Linked DNA regions of Macaca mulatta. Each later gene encodes a partner of the first gene's protein in a complex. Links are inferred from orthologs where the notes say so. Each region holds a gene or a part of one and is shown on either strand. Other genes may lie near its edges.

Region 1 (6,509 bases):
CTGCCTGGAACACAGTATGTACTCAAACGTTAGCTATTAATATTACTAACAGTTGACTTAAATGATCCCCTTGGGGCCAATGCCCAATCAATAGCTAAATCTTACCAATTCTATCACCAAGGAAACCTCTCCTATCGTTTCCTTTCTCTTCATGTTCACAGCCCTAACTGGTATCTCTGATTCCAGTCTCTCTCCCTTTGAATTCAACTCACACTTTCCTAAAGAATTAAATCCAAGCCCCTTAGCTTAGCATTTAACGTCCTTCATGTTTGGGCCCCAATTTACCTTTCAGTCCTTTTTTTCCCACTACTTTCTGGAATCCACCACTCTAGCCAAATTAAATTACTCTTCTAGATATACCCTATGCTTCCCCACTATGATGCCTGTTCATTTTATTCCCTCCTGGAATGTCTTCTCTTTACCTTCAAAGGTCCAAATCTTTCCATCCTCTTTCCAGACATAACTCAAATGCCATAATGCCTTCTCAATTAAAAACAATCTCTCTCTCCCCAGAATACCTTCATGTTATTTATATGTCTTTTATAGCACCAATCCCTTTTAACTTTATATTTTGCTTATGTACTCTGCAGGTTCTCTGTTGAAAGATCCATGCCAGTTCTTACACTTACTACATACTCAAATAAATGTATGTTGAAGGCTAGGCGTGGTGGCTCACATGTGTAATCCTGGCCTATTGGGAGGCCAAGGTGGGTGGATCACTTGAGAACAGGAGTTCAGGACCAGCCTGGACAACATGGTGAAACTCCATCTCTACAAAAAATATAAAAATTAGCCAGGCATGGGCCAGGCGCAGTGGCTCATGCCTGTATTCCCAGCACTTTGGGAGGCCAAGGCAGGCGAATCACGAGGTCAGGAGATCGAGACCATCCTGGCTAATACGGTGAAACCCCGTCTCCACTAAAACTACAAAAAATTGGCCGGGCGCGGTGGCTCAAGCCTGTAATCCCAGCACTTTGGGAGGCTGAGACGGGCGGATCGCGAGGTCAGGAGATCGAGACCATCTTGGCTAACACGGTGAAACCCCGTCTCCCAGCTACTTGGGAGGCTGAGGCAGGAGAATGGCATAAACCCGGGAGGCGGAGCGTGCAGTGAGCTGAGAACCGGCCACTGCACTCCAGCCTGGGCGACAGAGCGAGACTCCGTCTCAAAAAAAAAAAAAAAAAAAAAAAAAAAAAAATTAGCCGGGCGTGGTGGTGGGCGCCTGTAGTCCCAGCTACTCAGGAGGCTGAGGCAGGAGAATGGTGTGAACCCAGGAGGCGGGGCTTGCAGTGAGCGGAGATTGTGCCACTGCACTCCAGCCTGGGCGACACAGCAAGACTCCATCTCAAAAGAAAAAAAAAAAAATTAGCCGGGCATGGTGGTGCACACCTGTAGTCCCAGCTACTTGTAGGGCTGAGGCAGGAGGACTGCTTGAGCCAGGGAAGCTGAGGCTGCAGTGAGCTGAGATCATGCCACTGCACTCCAGCCTGGGTGACAGAGTGAGACCCTGTCTCAAAACAAAAATTTAAATGTAAATTTTAAAATGTATGTTGGATCTACCTTTGGGAGTATTCTGGTTTTATATATATATATATATATATCAGCATGTATATAATATTCATTCAACATGTATCCATCTATCCATCTTCATGTTTATATTATATATTAAATATAATATTATATATGATATATATAATATTGAATACAAGTTGAATGAATATTTTGCAAATAGATATTAAAATCAGATTTAGCTTCAACAAGAAAATTTCAGCCTTGAACTAGAATTTTCTGATCTAACCTGTATTACAGCTCCTTCACAAAAGGAAACTGGAACAAAAAGTACTACACTTTCTAACCAGTGGTCATATTATTTTTTTTTAGTTCTGGATTTTAAGAGGTCACATACCCTTCCTTTCACTTCCAGAGTCTCAACTGCTTTTGATCAGAAACTTCTCAAATTCTACAATATACATTTAGATTTAAAAGCAAAGTGAGCCTGGGCAACATAGTGAGACCCCATCCCTACAAAAAATTTAAAAATTAGCCTGGCATGGTAGATGCATCCTTGTAGTCCTCGCGACTCAGCAAGCTGATCAGGAATTCAAGGTTATAGCCAGCTAGGATCGCTCTACTTCACTCAGATCACTGCACTCTGCCTGGGTGACAGAGCTAGACTCCATCTCTTAAAAACAAATTTAAAATATTTAATTTTTTTAAATTAAAAAAATTAGGCTGGGCACAGTGGCTCACGCCTGTAATCCCAGCACTTTGGGAGGCTGAGGTGGGAGAAGTGCTTGTGCCCAGGGGTTTGAGACCAGCCTGGCCAACACAGCAAGACTTCATCTCTACAAAAAAGAAAAATTTTTTAAAGTTTAAAAACTAAAGCAAAGTGATATTATTTAAAATACAGAATTGTAATTCAGGACTAACTAGTTCTACCTATTAACAGAGTACACCAAGCTCACAAAACACAATAATAAACAATAAGGATGATGACCACCATTCTTTCCAAGTAAAGCTGTTGCTGATCTCCTGTTTATAAGGCTCCAAGATGATTTTCAAGCCCAAGAAACACCCTGTATTTGACTCATTCAGCTACAGTTTCACTCAGACCCTAATGGGGAGGAGGGAGTTTTAAGACAAGCAATACCATTCTGAATTCCACCAACAACTCTACCATGCATTACTTGCTCTGTGGTTGTGGCTAAGTCTCTTAGCTTCCCTGTGTACCAGATTTGTTCAAGAGCAGCTAAGTAGGGAAGGAAAACAAAAGCCTCATCTGCCTGAAATCCAAAAATACACCCCAATGCTTTGTTACAAAAGACAAAATAATGTAAGTTGAAATGTTGCTGGTGAATTATCTTTATTAAAACAGAAGTCATCCCACCTCTCAAATACCAGTCATTGTGTCTGATTTCCGAATTCATTACAGGAAGAACTGTGTATGAAGTCATCCAAACACATGCACTCTCCACTTCCCTTAATTGAAAGTTGCTGATTTCCGAGGAGCCAGGGGCTGAGCAGAATGTAAACCTAAAGCCTAAATCAGTAAACAACCCCATCCAAACTGGCCTAAGAGGAAAGCGAGGTGGGTGGGGAGGAAGGTGGATGACAGGAGAAACTCGGCTGACCACTGCGCCAAGTCAACGCACTCACAGCTCTCGAGATGACACACACTCCCCTTCCCACCCTCGGGCTGTTTTGGTCCCAGAACCGTGGGGGCAGAACTCCAGAGAAGCAGCTCAAGCTTCAGCTGGGGCCGGGGACCCTCGGGCAGCCCGGGCCTGACAGACTGGGGGAGGCAAGCCCACCGCCCCCAGGGTGGACAGCCCGAGACAGCCCCAGGTGTGGCCTCGGCCGTAGTCCCAGCCGGGCTCCGCGACCCGACAGTCTCACCCAGGCCTGTCCCGGGGACAGCTCCCGCCCCCCAGCTCGGTACCCCGGCTCACTGGCTTGGCTGATCCGCTGGATGTTGCCGCTGCACGTCTGGATGATGCTGCTGAAGTCCCGGAGCTGGGGCCCTGAGGGCCCCAGGTTCCGGTACATATCTAAGGGACCGTATGACATGATGAGGAGCTGAGACCTGCTCGCCCTACACCACTCTCCTACCGGAAGCAGCCGCCAGCCGGGACCCGCAGGCTGACGGAGAAACTGGGAAGAGCAAGGGCGGGGAAGAAGCTAAGGCTGCGTGCGCACTAGTCCCGCCCCCACGCAGCGCGCACGCGTCCTCCCCGCCCCTGTTCAAAGTGCGCAGGCGCCGCTGGGACTGGGGCTGGGACTGTATCTTAGAGACAGGACTGCCTGGGGCTTGGGGGTTGCGGGGCGGAGAGATGACGTCACCTAGTTGGGGCTGAGATTGGATGAGCTTGGGTGGAGGTGTTGTTTCTCGCCAGGGCACATTGACAAGAGGCAAGAATTTTCGATTTGCATAAAACTGTACCAGATGATCTCAGCCCTTACATCCTATTCTGTTTTGAGAATTCAGGCCCAAATATGGGAGTATTCAACGTTGAAACTCAGACCAGGAACCAAATCGTAACCCGAAATTCCTCTCTACTTCCGTCCCCAGGGTTTTGGTAGTATTTGGGGTTTCCAAACCGCTTTCATTTCTCCCTCCACCCCTCTTCTAATCTAAACAATAAAATAATAATGTTTATTAAGCACATACTATGTGTGAATCCTCACCGCAATTCACTTGTTCATAAGATTTTTCACAGCAAGGGACGATGCTCTGTCTACATTTTTATCATTAGAATAGATAGCGGAGAGTCGGTTTTTTAAATATTGAAGTAAAGTAACTCATCAATGTTAGCATTATTATTTTCCCTATTACCGATGAGAAAATTAAGACCAGCGAGGTTACTTCGCCTTGCTGAAGTTTGACTGCAAAAGCCAAACGCTAAGCTGACTCTCTCCTCACCTTGCTACTTCTCTAAAATTCATTCTCATCGAAATCTCTCCCAAATAGCTCGTTCATCTATATCCCAAACCGGGATTTCTTGGAGAACTAGATTCCTAAAATTTAAAAATCATACCCTTAAATACTTTGGAATGCATGACCTCAATTTTCCTACAGAAGACTGCATTTCTGTAAGCGTATGTTAAAAGGAAAGACATAGGATTTTGGTTTGGGAGGAGATCAAGATGGTGAGAAGTGAAGGGGAACTGGCTGTTTCCTGTGTTCTCCACCCCACCCCAGCCTGCTTTGCAGTCTTTGGAAAATGCAAAGACGGAAAGCTGCTTGCCTGGGTGAAAGGAGACCCCAAGTGAATGAGCCTGTATATGGCCTTAGGGTTTTTTCTTTATTTTATTTTATTTTTTTTGAGACAGGGTTTCGCTCTGTCACACAGGTTGGAGTGCAGTGGCATGATCTCCGCTCACTGCAACCTCCTTCTCCTGGGCTCAAGAGATCCTCCTACCTCAGCCTCCAAGTAGTTGGGACTACAGGCGTGCGCCACCACGCCCAGCTAATTTTTCTATTTTTTGTAGTGATGGGGTTTGGCCATGTTGTCCAGGCTGGTCTCGAACTCCTGGGCTCAAGTGATCACCACCAGCCTTAGGATTTTTTAAGGGTGGCTATCTCTATTTTTCGTTGGAGAATTTGAGAGCATTTTTTTCCCTCTCTCTAGAAAGAGATGGATGACATCCGGGGGCTCTTGTTTTGGTTATTTTATTTTATTTTTGAAATGGAGTCTTGCTGTGTTGCCCAGGCTGGAGTCGAATGGCGCAGTCTTGGCTCACTGCAATTTCTGCCTCCTGGGTTCAAGCAATTCTCCTGCCTCAGCCTCCCGAGTAGCTGGGATTACAGGCATGCACCACCACAGCCCGGCTAATTTTTGTATTTTCAGTAGAGATGGGGTTTCACCATGTTGGTCAGGCTGGTCTTGAATTCCTGACCTCAGGTGATCCACCCGCCTTGGCCTCCCAAAGTGTTGGGATTACAGGCATGAGCCACCGCACCGGCCTGTTTTGGTTATTATTATACAACCTTACTGTTTCTTAGAATCTGTAGTTTTATGTCAAATCTTATAGCAAGTCATGTAAATTGCACTTTTTAACCTATATGATAGTCCTGATAATTTTTAAATTTACATTTCACACTATATAAAGTGAAGTTCAGTAAAGGTATTTTTCTTATAGGAATTAAAAATATTGTTTTCTTTCTCCATGTACAATAAAAATCGTTTTAAGGCTGGGTGCGGTGGCTCACTACTGGAATCCCAGCACTTTGGGAGGCTGAGGCAGGCTGATTGTTGCTTGAGCTCGGGAGTTCGAGACCAGCCTGAGCAAAATGGCGAAAGCATGTCTCTACCAAAAATGCAAAAATTAGCTGGGCACAGTGGCCTGAGCCTATAGTCCCAGCTACTCCGGAGCCTGAGGCAGGAGTGTAGCTTAAGCCTGGGAGGCGGAGGTTGTAGCGATCATCTCTCATAGCAGTAAATCTGTGCCTTGCAAATACTGGATGTCAAACAAACATTTGTTGGATTAACACATGAATAATAAAAATAATAATTTTATCATTTCTTAAATGCCTCTTAGGTGCCAGGCAGTATGAACACATTTTGTGTACATTATCAGTAATCTCCAAGATAAAACCCATCTGATAAAGACCACCTGTAGTCAGAAAAAGTTAAGTTTATTAACTTGCTGCTGCAAGGGAAACTGCACGCCAAAGGAATCATGCAGCGTGTCACAAAACACAGGAAGACAGTGAGTTATTCCAGGATTTGGGGGAAAGAAATGTAGATAAATTTTTAAAGAAGCAGTGTTTTGATAGCCCCTAAACACACCAGGCTATGTGTAAAGGGATTATCATCAGGCCCTAGCTAACAAGATCCTGTTTCCTTGGAAACCATGATGCCAAGATAAATGTGGAATGTTGTGTCTGGAAACCCCTTATCTGAAGCTCTGCACCTGCGTTAGAAATTGAGGCTGCTCTTCTGCATCAAAGTAACTGATCCTCCAGGTAAGAGTGGTATATTCCATTCTTCTTGATAATTTGAGCAACA
Region 2 (5,857 bases), on another chromosome or scaffold:
TAGTAGAGGTGAGGTTTCACCATGTTGGCCAGGCTGGTTTTGAACTCCTGGCATCAAGTGATCTGCCTGCCTAGGTCTCCCAAAGTTCTGGGATTACGGGAGTGAGCCACCACACCTGGCTTATGCCTTTTTTTTTTTTTTTTTTTTTTATAAGCACTTTGCCAGCATATACAATGCCGCAGAGGAGCCAAGGTAAAGTAGTAACATATCCTGTAAATTTTTGTCAGTGGAGCTCTTAAACTGTAACTTTGTTACATTCCTGAGGCATTGTTCATGTACTTTTAGAAACAAATATATAATTAGTGATCAATCATTAACTCTTCAGAGGTAAAAGGAAACAGAATCACGATTTCTTTTTATTCTGACTCTGAATTTTGAAAATTTTAATTTTCATTTGTACTGATTGCCAACAGTTTGAACGAATAAGACTTTCTGCTCAAAGGTATAGAAAAAAAACACAAACACACACATCAATACATACATATGAAGAGAAACATTTCAGCCTCCTAGTGATACTGTGACACTTTAAGACAGCCAATTATAAAAATCAAATTTTGTGAAAGTCAATGAAAAAATCCATTTATTGGACCCAGTTACAACATAAATGGTCATTTGTTTCATGACCATTTTCATTATTATCTGAATTCTACTTTATGTAAACTCTGTCTACAGAGTTAGGAAATGAACAGTTTGTCCCTTGATAACTCTCCATCTTATGTCAGAATAGAAGAAAAATTACTTTCCAGGAAATCAGTCATAGCTGTGTTCTGATGTGGACTTTTACTATTATAACTTTGAATTGACTAATTTTCTCTTTTGTTTTCTTCCTTTTGGTAATATGGCGTGTTTACACAAAGAGCAATTTCTTTTTGGTTGAATCAGTTGCTATCTCACTAAATTACATATTATATGTCAATTTTTTTGCATACCTTAGTTCTTTTCAAAATTTGTTTGTAATGATTCCATATGCCATTTTCTATTTCTCTATTTTTTTCCAAACATGTTGGCTTTATAGCCATTTAACTCATATTTTTTTTTTATTAGTTATTTGTTTTCCTCGTGTCCCTTTTAATGACCAGCAAGGACTAACTGGAGTTGTGGAATCTTTAATAGATGCCTTGAGAATCTGTTAATTTTGTGAATTTCCATGGTACATTTTTATGCATATGTCTTCTACTACACTAAAGTACTGTGAAAGTGAGGATAAAATTGGGTTCATTTCAGGATCCCCAGCCCTGGTGTACAGACAGTAAATATTTACTAAGGAAATGAATAAGCAGAATAAAGAAAAGAAGAAAGGAAAGAAGGAAGGAAATAGATGTTTATCTTATTTGAAGTTTAAAAAAAGATAAAAAAGCATGAGTGGTAGATGATTATTTAGTGGCTGCTGGATTTTATAAACTTAATTTTGTTGCTTACTCATTTTGATTTCCCCAACTCCTTTTGGTCAGTTTTACAGATAATCAAGTGGACATATGCACAGATCTTGGTACCAATGGAACAGTGTTTTCACCTGTCTTCACAACAGACCATACGTAAAATGGCTCAAATGAGGAGCCATGCCAAGCCATTTTTGCTCACGTTACAAATCTGAGAACAATCAAGGTTTAAAAGAATTAAAAAATAACCTGCAATATTTCTTTTAAACAAAGCAATTCCTTGGTTTGGTATACTACAGAATATTTAACTATTTTCAGTCACACAGAATTTATCATATGAAAATAATTAAGCTTATGTTATATGCAGGTAAATGCTCGCACTGCACAATGAGGACATTCATTTCTTTTACACATTTGTGAAGGTGGCAGATGAGCACAATTCAATATCATAGCATTTCCTAAATCAGAAGCGCTTGCTGACACACGACATAGCTATGCAGTTTTGGTAAGAAGAATAGTAAGAGAATGTGGCTTTTCTTTCTGAAATACAAGCTCACCAGGGCTGGAAGCGAAAGCCATATGAATGAATGGGAGGGATGTAACAGAGAAAGCAAAATCAGAGCATTCAATAAGAGGCTTTGGTACATAAACCCTGCCTCTATTTCTCTGCAGAGAGCTTTTCCATGAGATAACCAAAATAATGAAGCAGAGAGGTTGGTAAAATGTTTGTACCTTTTCCCAAGTCCAAAATACATTGTATATCATATGGGGCAGTAATTAGAAACTAAAACAAAACCACCACTGCATTTGGTCCCCAGAGACCATTGCCAGGTCAAGGCATTGGTTGAAAATATCTGAATATCCTGGCTGATACCAAGATCCCAGCTGTGCCTAGTGAAAAACATTGTCATGCATATGAACAGGTGGACTTAAGCGTACCCTTGGTTCAGATGTAGCAAGGTGATGTCCATCTGGGAATTTTTATTTCTGTTCATACTCTAGACACATCCCAAAAGAAGATGAGTCAGTGATTGACTGAGTTTGCTTACAAAGAGAACCCCATGTAGATTTCACCAGAGTAATTTTCTTCCGTAGGCTTCTGAAACAACCACGTTATTATGATTTCCCTACAGAAAGCCCAGTCAAAGGTTGTCGAAGTTGTTTGTGCTTCGCCCTCTCTAAATGACTTGCAAATTTATTCAAACACAATATGAGGAGATGCTTTATTTGTTGAAATAACTGTCTGCAGTGTCCTGCACTAAAGGGTGAGGTACATCAAGCAGAAACATGGACAGAAATACATGGGTTTCGAAACCCATAAATCCTTATTTGAATCTGCCAACCTGAAAGCCACGTGGAGCCCGCATAAACTATTTTTCCTAAATGCTACATCTGATTAAGCCATACCATTAAATGACAGCTGAACTTTAACATTAATATGATATTATTTAAATAACCACATCATTTTTTTTACACTAAAAATGATGAATGATTTCTGGACAGCTCAATTGACATAAAGCAGGAGGACTCTTTAATGAGATTTGACAAAATGGAGACATATGCAGAATATTCGTTACAGCTCACGACGCAGGAGCCCTCCCAGGAAAGCAACAGAGGTTTTTCCCTCCCCTTCCTTTCTTTTTTATTGTCTATAGGCACTGAAGCATTCCTTTCAATCACCACTACCCTTCTCTCTGAATTCTGAGTTTTTCTTAGGCCATTTACCTAGTACTCTTAATCAGAGAATGTGATGGCTTATGATTCTGAGTTGGGAGTCAGGGTCCAAGAAAATGAGAAGGAATGTCATATTATGCAAGCCTTGGCTGGAAATGTCCCAGGAACTTTAAGCTTGCTACTGGTCAGGCTGCTTAGAAAAATCTTAACAGTCTTGAAGACCAAACCACTAGACATTTGATTGATTCTTATGTAATAAATCTGTAACACGGCAAACATACTTTTAGCAAACTATTGTATATGGATACGTGATCAAAGAAGACTTTAGTTATTTTTAGATGGTTGTCTTTATAGTATCAACTATAAAGATTTCCTTCTTCAAAATTCTAATTAAGCTATTCCAGAGGCCATTCTCAATGTTTCTCATTCACTTTTCTATCCACAGTTCCAAACTGACAGTCATGCTAGATGATATTCTTATGTGGTAGATTCTGAATGTGAAATAATTTTGTACTGAATGTACTTATAAGAACATTACCTGCATTCATTCATTTATTTTCTCATACTATTTAGCATATTTTTCATCAATCAAGGTTGAGTTACACATATAAAACATGAACATTTGTTTGTTAGCACATATTATTCAGATAATCTTGACGTTTTATAAATCATCTTTCAGTGTATACATAAAACAGAAATGTTTCCCCAAACCGTGTCACTTAAAGAAATGAAAACAAGGCAACACAGAGCAAAACTAACAGCAACTGTGCTCCTGAAAATGGTAGGTCTGCATTCCCTCCATAAGAAGGAGGCCATCAAAATAGAAAATAAAATCAGCCTGCTCCTGCCATGGGGCCTTCCTCAGGCTATGAAAAAACACTTCATGTCTAACCCTAATTTTTTCCATAGCTTCAGGTTACCCCCCTAGCTCAAGCCTTCTCTCTAATCTGTGTTACTATGTGTCCCTGTCCAAACAAGAGTTAATATCAGTGCTTTATTATTTCAAACGGGTCCTGACACAGGGCACTAAGAGCAGAAGCTTAAAAGCATGTAATATGCCCCGTTGCAATTGAATGAAAACATAATAGTTTTAAAAAGAGACAGAGAGAAAGATGGGTCCCTACCTTGCTCTTACCTTCGCAACATCCCCGTCAGAATCCTGGAGCTTTTTCCCAAATTAGCGTCTGTTTCCCGAAGCTACAAGAAGAACAGCAATGTTAAAACAAAACAAAAGTTCATGCAATTAGACTATTTCTAAAGTGCATGGCAAGTGACAATTTATTTCACGGTAGAAAATCCAAACAATAAAAATGTTCAAATATACAAAAATAAATACATTTCTGACAGCTACACAAACATGGAAAATTCTTATATTTGGAGAATGACACATGAGAGGTAATCTTGGGAGCTTTAAGCTGGATACTAGAACTGGATATAAAAGCAAAGCACAGGCTGAAAAAGTTTCATAAACATTTGGTAATTCATCTCCAACTTATGAATGTGCAGTCCTAAAAACATAAAAATAATATGAATTGAGAAAAGATGACCACCAATAATTCTATAGTTTCACTCTAAAAGATGAACATACTCCAAAATCTCCCTCAGTGACCTTCTCCTCTATAAGAAGTAAATAAAATACCCACCTGGGAGCATTCTGGGATGGGGACATAGAGTCGGCTGCTATTTGCTCCATGTCACTCTCTTTCTTTTCCTTTCCACAGACCTTACACCCTCTTTCACCTTAGATACATATAACTACCTAATTGCTACTGTTTATGTCCCAATGCCTTTCATTTATGTCTTCATTTACTGAATATGTGAAAAAACTATATCACTTGTACTTACTCTTTCACGTGCTCGCTGTATCTTTTCTCTGTCATGACTAAGGTTTTCCAACATCTCCTGACCAATTTGCTCTATGGAAAAGAAAATCTGAGTAAGGAAAAATGACTCGGAGTGCACATGAGAATAACTCTCAGGAGTACCCAAATGACATAAAATGTTAAAGTAGCATGCATGCATTATACATTAGACACGTATTTCAATTCATGTATTTGAAAAATATAAACAGTATTTGATAAATGTGTCTATTTATCTTAGGTATAATTAGATATTTGACCTATAGAACATAACCAACATGAGAATAATGACTTAGAGATGATGTCTTGCCCAGGCCACTCCAGCAAATGTCAGCAAAGGTGGAGGAGATCTGATGTCCATTAGTCTATTTTGTCATCATGGAATTTAGCTGTTGGTTTTTACAGGTTATAAGTAATGTTAATGATTCTGCTCTCCCTTTCCCCTTTCATTTTGCACATGTATGTCAGACTCCATTTAGAACAATTTTAATTTTAGTGTATTCGCCCTGCACAAGTAATCCTCATACGCTCACCTACATATGCTTATTGGTAGTGAACTGTCTCTAGGCTTCTGCTCTCTTCAAGGCAAGGGCTCATTTAATGTGTTATCAGCAGCTGTAGGTACTTGAGTCAACTCAAGGTGAGGTGCATTCCTTCTCAAGTAGAAGAGAGCTTATGCTGGAGACAGTGTTTTCACCCCAGAACTCTGAAACCCTAATACTGTTATAGGCAATTTAGAACATTCATTAAAAAGCCATACTGCTGAGTTTTAATGAGGTTTTCCCGTGCCATGATCATCTTATTTGGTTGACACTAGGCAGTCTCTTCTCCAATCTGCAGACCCTTTTAGAAGACAGTAGGTATGGCTTGACCTCATAAATAACCAGCTGCCTTGAATAAATCGTTTTCAGACTCATTCCCCATTACCTGGGAGGTGCCTTATTC

Evidence for each region. Proteins that work in one complex are often made in the same cells at the same time.
Region 2: the proteins of STX12 (region 1) and VTI1A are in contact, whole or in part, in a crystal structure (PDB 2NPS), measured with the Rattus norvegicus proteins. The link is inferred for Macaca mulatta from reciprocal best matches to the Homo sapiens genes STX12 and VTI1A. Residues at the interface, in NP_075228.2 of Rattus norvegicus: Glu185, Ile188, Gln189, Leu191, Glu192, Ile195, Leu196, Val198, Asn199, Phe202, Lys203, Leu205, Ala206, Ile209, His210, Gly213, Ile216, Asp217, Glu220, Val223, Glu224, Ser226, Glu227, Val230, Glu231, Ala233, Ser234, Asp235, Leu237, Gln238; in XP_038945999.1 of Rattus norvegicus: Arg131, Arg134, Ser135, Arg138, Leu139, Ala141, Gly142, Ile145, Ala146, Glu148, Thr149, Ile152, Gly153, Met156, Asn159, Leu160, Asp163, Arg166, Arg169, Ala170, Arg173, Leu174, Glu176, Thr177, Asn180, Leu181, Lys183, Ser184, Ile187, Leu188.

What each region holds. Positions count from the first base shown.
Region 1 is NC_133406.1:213,166,203-213,172,711, forward strand, and holds the start of STX12 (syntaxin-12), read right to left. Parts: upstream 3,582-6,509; 5' UTR 3,568-3,581; coding exon 3,450-3,567; intron 1-3,449. UniProt on the Homo sapiens protein: SNARE promoting fusion of transport vesicles with target membranes. Together with SNARE STX6, promotes movement of vesicles from endosomes to the cell membrane, and may therefore function in the endocytic recycling pathway.
Region 2 is NC_133414.1:124,808,701-124,814,557, reverse strand, and holds part of VTI1A (vesicle transport through interaction with t-SNAREs homolog 1A), read right to left. Parts: intron 4,970-5,857; coding exon 4,899-4,969; intron 4,251-4,898; coding exon 4,189-4,250; coding exon of another isoform or gene 4,185-4,188; exon of another isoform or gene 4,178-4,184; intron 1-4,177. UniProt on the Homo sapiens protein: V-SNARE that mediates vesicle transport pathways through interactions with t-SNAREs on the target membrane. These interactions are proposed to mediate aspects of the specificity of vesicle trafficking and to promote fusion of the lipid bilayers.